Linked DNA regions of Yarrowia lipolytica. The protein of the gene in region 1 interacts with the protein of each later gene in a pairwise test. Links are inferred from orthologs where the notes say so. Each region holds a gene or a part of one and is shown on either strand. Other genes may lie near its edges. The genes, in order: YALI1_B18902g and YALI1_F31432g.

Region 1 (3,794 bases):
AGTTACTCCAGAGTCTCCACAAATGAGCTGATCTGCACATGACCAGGGTATGTGCAATAGTATCCTGTGGAGGCTCAGCGGGCCAACCAATTATGACGCATCTATTGCTATCAGTAGAGTAGGACCTGCACCTTTGGGTGGGGCAGTGAAACGTGCTGGGGTAAGGATTTAAATCCCGCGTTGCACTTTTCTGCTACTGTGGGGCCATCACCTGATGTCGCTGCCCCTCTATATCGTGCAATCCATAGCTTGCTCATTCCACATTCCACACTCCACATCTTTTTTTTTGTTGGACCCACGACCAACGACATTCCTAGGCCCCTGGCTATTCCCTGTTTTTTAGCCAAACCAAAGAGGACGCGTGCCGAGCATGAAATGTGAGGAGATTGCATTCAGGGGTGCAAGCAAGTAGCAACGCAACTTCACAAAGCACACAGCCGGCTCACAAGGAACAAAGACACATAGCCCTATCTCCAGAGCGGAATGGCGAAGTTTTGCTGATTACGAACTGGGATACGCCGTTTCAGTCGAAATGATTTGCGTCTTTACCGTAGCACAGCTTGGAGGAATACAGTCTTTATGAGGCCTGCTGTTCCACTTATCAGTGACACGTCCGCAGTTGGACCTTCTTTGTTAGTGGCCTGCTAAACTAGGCGGTTGCCCCAGCGACCAGAAATGCGCCGTTCAGCTGCACTTCGTAGACGCCTGTTGTACAGTTTTAGGAGAGCTTCCACACACTGGCCCTGATGGTGTGCAATAATTAGTTCACCAGATAACGTCACGTGTCTCGAAGTACTTGACCCGTCAACTACGATAGTGAACCGTACAATGGAAGCACAATAGCTCGCGTGGAACAAGCTCTCTCTTGTGGCTGGCGTCCTAGAGCCTCATTCTCTTGTTTCGGAACAACCTTGCAACCATACAGTATACAGTTTACTTGGCCTCAACAGAGCCATAGTTGTAGACTCATTTTCAGGCCACTGCGGCAAATACAATCGCCAATCGATGCTCACTTGGGCGGGGTACCAACACCTCAACTAATGCACACCAGGAGTTATCTCCTTCTGATTGCCAGGATGCGGCTGATTAAGCGTCGATCACTGAGGGTGTGGTGTAGCTACTTGTACTGGTACTGTTGAACGTGTGATTATCGTATTATAGATACTGTTTTTAGTTTAGACTGTCGCCATGAGCTGTGTGTATGACTGACTACTCTAAACACTCCTAACCTCGGCATTTCATGTTCCATAAAATGTGTGCAAACGTACAAGTACGAGTACATGTGCACTTGTACAATACGTACACCTGCTGGGGAGAAGGTAAAAAAACAGGCCATATGGCCGAGTGGAGCTCCAGCAGTACATACAGTAGCACGATAGGCCAGTCTGTATGATGTTACATACGGCTTCGTACTCAAAAAGAAGGCTGTGGAAGCCTCTGTAGCCTCTCCAACCTACTCTGCTCACTCTGATGGATCCCTGGCACACGTGAGCTATAATTAATTAATCCGAAACCCCTGCTGGTTCAGGCTTAATCTGCCAAACTCTCCAGTCTCATTCGACGGACATTATCGTCCACATCCAAAGCAAACACTTTTGGTTGGCTTTTTTTTAGATTCGCCAGTTTCCAATAATAGATTCGGGGACAATAGCCGCACGAGTCCAGAGAGGTGTAGCTGTATGCCTTGTAACGTATCGTCTCGACGACTGTGCTTGCGGTATAATAACAGCTTGTACCAGTAAATTCAGATATCACCTTTTGCAATCTTCCCATTGCACCCCAAGGCCATTCACCGAAGTATTACTAATCATAACATCTTAACCTGTGATGTTGAGCAAGGTTCGGATCTTGCAGGCCGCCTGAGATGGGGGGCGAATTAATTTCCTGAACTGCACCTGCACAGCTACGAATCCACTGATCTTACGTACGGCGGCTTTGAGATATAGCTTTTCACACGCAAACAAGAAAATCTGCTAAGCATCCTCACCCCAACATGACCGCAGAGGACACCAAACCTGAAGCCAAGGCTCAGCCCACCCAAGAGCCTGCTGCTGAGACAGAATCGGCTGTCACAGTGGTTCCTCCATCTTTCGAGTCCGACGTTTCCGAAGATGAAGAGGAGGAAGCTTTCGAGGCAATTGAGGCCGACGAAGACCTTCTGGCCGATGCTGACCTCGACATTCTCGACATTGACCTCACTCATCTCAAGATCCGTGACTTTGCCAAGCTTGGTCTGGGTCGATTCAAGCAGCTTGAGACCCTCTGTCTGCGACAGAACATTTCTCCTAGCACGGATGGCCTGGAGGAGGTATCTGATACCCTGGTTGATCTCGACGTGTACGATAACCGAATTGGCAAGATCGAGAATGTGAACCATCTGGTGAACCTCACCAATCTGGATTTCTCCTTCAACAAGATCCGTCACATCAAGAACGTCAGCAAACTCACAAAGGTCATCAACTTCTATCTTTGCCAGAACAAGATCCAGGAAATTCGAGGTCTGGACAACATGCCTGATCTTGTTAACCTTGAGCTTGGAGCCAACCGAATCCGAGTCATTGAGAACTTGGACCATCTCAAGAACCTGCGTCAGCTGTGGCTCGGAAAGAACAAGATCCGAAAGCTGTCTGGTCTGTCGGGACTGGAGAGTCTAGAAACCCTGTCTATTCAATCCAACAGAATCACCAAAATCGAGGGTCTGGAGAAACTGAAGAACCTGGAAGAGCTGTACATTAGTCACAACGGAATCACGAAGATCGAGGGCCTGGAACACAACACCAAGCTGCGAACCCTGGACATTACTGGAAACCCCATCACCACCCTGGAGGGTGTTTCGCACCTCAAGGATCTGGAGGAGTTCTGGGCCTCGGATTGCAAGCTCTCCAACTACAAGGAGATTGAGACTGAGCTTGGACAGCTGCCAAACCTCGAAACAGTCTACTTTGAGCGAAACCCTCTGCACCGAGAAAACCCTGCCACCTACAGAAACAAGGTGCGACTTTGTTTGGGCCCTTCCCTTCGACAGATTGACGCTACTTTCATCAAGTCTTAGCAGCATATTATTACGATAGCTGACTACGTTCTGTAGGCCGTGAGACAGCGTTTCTGAAATCGTTCTCTTACTGTCATATATAATAGAATGAATGCATATATTTATAGGCATCCGTGAGATTTAGCGTAGTGACTATTTGGTGTAATGCTAACATCTGGAATCTCTCCTCTTACAATGGCTATTAGTACGTAAATGGTTACTGTTATACTGTACTGTACGTTCTGTAGCTTCCATAATGTGCTTTTTTGTTGACTTATTTAACGTGTGTGTGACACACTAATTGTGGTGGTCACACAAACACAGAAAGACGCTTCCCACATTTAAAAACAGAACAGCCCACCTTAACTTATTCTCCTACACACCAGAAATAAAAACATGAGATACACAAATACCCAAGCGCTGGTGGGTGTCTGTCTACTCCTGCTGCTGGCTTGCGTGGCCAAAGCACAGAGAGAACCCCCTCACCCTCACCCCCGATACCCAATGGCTCCACCCCCGCCTCCTCACTACCCTTACTACTACCCCAACCGTCATGGAGCGTACAGACGTACTCGTCAAGCAGCAGGCAGATCCCCCGTGGGTCTCCGAAATGACCGACGTCCCAAAGCGCGACTCGATAACCACAAGAAGAAGACCGCCCAGCACCACGACGGAGAGAAGAAGGCCAAGCCCAAGTCCGATACCATTATCATCCGAATTGCAAGCAATGTCGGTGGCGATATTCCCAAGCTCTCAGACCCGG
Region 2 (2,784 bases), on another chromosome or scaffold:
ACAAACTTGTGCAACATGGCCAAAAGAACTGCTAAACCAACAGCGAAATCAGCAAAAATCACAGCCTTTCCTTGGCCCAAGTCTCTGCTCGACAATGACCCCTCCAAGTCGTACAAGGTCCACACTGAGACGATACTCAAGGACCAGATTTACGTGATCCATGGGTTTCTACCCGCCAAAGTCTGCAATGATCTGGTTCAAACCATTGTTAAGACGGACGCCGACGACACACACACTTTTAAGATGGAGACGACACCGCTGACGAAACGAAAAGATTATGCTGCTCGGGTCAACGATCGAGGGGCAGTGGAAGATACAGGGATCTGCAACTACCTCTGGCACCAGCTGGAGCCCATTATCGAGTCTGATCCGGAGCTGTCAGAGTTCAAATCGGCCTTTGGACTCAACCCCAACATTCGAATGTACAGATACACCCCTGGGCAGTTCTTTGATCAGCATTACGACGAGGCGGTAAGATGCAAGGTGGGATCGACTGTCTGTACTACACGATGGACGTTGCTACTGTACTTGTCAGAATGCCAGGGAGGTCAGACTATGTTCTACGAGGATGGAGGGAAGTCGTACGAGGTCCAGCCCACTAATGGCAGTGTACTGCTGCATAAGCATGGAGAGGACTGCCTGTTGCATGAAGGACGAGAGGTGACGGCGGGTGAGAAGTGGATTCTCAGATCGGACATTGCTTGGAAGAATTAGCGAGCAATATCGAAGCAATTTGACTGACGATGGTGAGCCATGGCAAAAGAGACTCTGACAGATAGTAATCAGGATAACTGAGACTACAGAGACACAGGGCTTGGAGTGTTCTGGCGGCAGTGGAAGTGCCTGTGGTAGAGTCAGAAAATCTACGACCACTCCGGCACTTATATAGCATCTTGAGCACAAGCTGGGGGGTACAGTCCTTAGATGATAAGTGATACACTCCGGATCACCTCCTCCCCTATAGGACTGATAGACGACGTATTGTATGGACGTGGGAAAAGTTACGGTCTTCACTTGTTGAAGTATGTAGTGCACGACAGCAGTGAACACAGGACTGACAGGACTGCCTCTTGGTTTCTTTACTAAAGTGGATTTCATACTTAACCTTTTGTCAAGTATAATAGTCAACGTTGTTAGCTTCGTGGACATGAGCCGAATGAATAACTACTGCGGTCAGCAGTTTCGGTTCTTCCCCTTTGCCATTCTTGTAAGTATGTACCACATCTTCTCATTATCTCAAAACTTCCATGTCACAGTACATACTGTACTCTTTAACAAGTACAGTACAGAAGCTAAAATACCCTTTTAGATTACTCAGAGCAATGCCATAAATATCCTTCCAATAGCGGCTATGGTCCACGATTACTCGATTTGAAAAAATGAATCTGCTAAACAGCTCAGCACATCCAAGGTGTGCTCTTCATATTTCTCTCACCTGGTCACATGATCGCCCCACCGCCTTACTCTCGTCCATACAGTCTATCTTGCTCCCAACTCTATTGCTCCAAAACGGGGGTGCGCATGTCATCATGCATGAAGAGTACTTCTTCCTGCCGCTGAGATAATGGTGTCATATAACCACCTACTCATTTGCCACACACCACACAAAACACAGACCCACCTCACGCACAATGTCACACAACCAGCAGGCCGCACAGCCATCGTCGTCACGCACACAGGTGATTGAACGGGAGGCGTCTCCAGGTGTTCTGACCGTACGAGGAGCCGCCGAAGACGAAGACTCCAACGTTCGATTTACAGAGGAAGTCGTGGACAACGAACACATGGACAAGAAGAAGTCGAAAATCTGTTGCATCTACCACCCGCCGGCCGAGTTTGGCGAGTCGTCCGAGGAAGAATCGTGTGGCTCTGACGATTCTGGACCCGAATCCGATGAGGGAGATATTCCTAATGCCCGAAAACCCAAGAAGAAGAACAAGGGCAAGTGCGGAGGACACAGAGACCCTTCTCCCAATGCGTACGAGCGAAAGCCACGACCCAAGAAGAACTAATCGTTACAACAATATGCATTTTTACACCAACAAACACGATAACCGCGCTACTTTTGTACAGACATATGTACCTACAACACTGTAAGATAGGAATTGTTTTTTTGATGATTTAAGAAAGAAGGAACCAAGTAATTGTGGTAGCTCTGTATCTTTTAAGTAGACTGTACGTTCTACTCATACTGCTCTGTACATTTCTTGTACTGTACTGTAGAGATCTCTTGGGTACAGTACAAGCTTACTAACACAAGTCGGGATGTGAAATAAGGTTTTTGATCTCTCCATGCCTTTACCTGGAAATCAAACTAGACCAACAACATCATCGCAGAATGTCGAGACTGACCAACACAGAGGTGAGTACGATTTTAGAGGACGATTAAGGGATTGCTCTTGATTGCTCTTGAACCAGGAGGGCTTTGGGCTGATCCAATCGGCTAGAACTTGTGACACAAACCCATGAATGAAACGATCAGAGGCCATCAATATCTCACTACCCACAGCTAACACAGTTCATCTCGTCGCTCAAGGACGCTTTCGACGGCATTTCCAAGAAGGAGAAGAAGCACTCCCTTTATTTCACACAAAAAAGACTCAGTCCCGCCAACGTGGAGCCCGAAGAGCCTTCAAAGGAGTACCCTCTACTGATCCGAGTGGCTTACACCACTGGAGGAAAGAAGACCAAGCTGACCACCGAGGTGGACCCTTCTAATCTCGACGAGTTCTGGAAACAGTACACGGACGTAATGAAAGCCGGCATGGCTCTCAAGAAGAAGGA

Evidence for each region.
Region 2: the proteins of YALI1_B18902g (region 1) and YALI1_F31432g interact in binary tests that used the Saccharomyces cerevisiae proteins (3 or more experiments, as listed by UniProt). The link is inferred for Yarrowia lipolytica from reciprocal best matches to the Saccharomyces cerevisiae genes SDS22 and YPI1.

Annotation. Positions count from the first base shown.
Region 1 is NC_090771.1:1,888,412-1,892,205, reverse strand, and holds YALI1_B18902g (uncharacterized protein), read left to right. Parts: upstream 1-1,993; coding exon 1,994-3,052; downstream 3,053-3,794. Other genes in the region: YALI1_B18921g (uncharacterized protein), read right to left, coding at 1-40; YALI1_B18887g (uncharacterized protein), read left to right, coding at 3,428-3,794. UniProt on the Saccharomyces cerevisiae protein: Regulator of the mitotic function of yeast type 1 protein phosphatase.
Region 2 is NC_090775.1:3,141,627-3,144,410, forward strand, and holds YALI1_F31432g (uncharacterized protein), read left to right. Parts: upstream 1-1,631; coding exon 1,632-2,012; downstream 2,013-2,784. Other genes in the region: YALI1_F31416g (uncharacterized protein), read left to right, coding at 16-714; YALI1_F31439g (uncharacterized protein), read left to right, coding at 2,339-2,362, 2,519-2,784.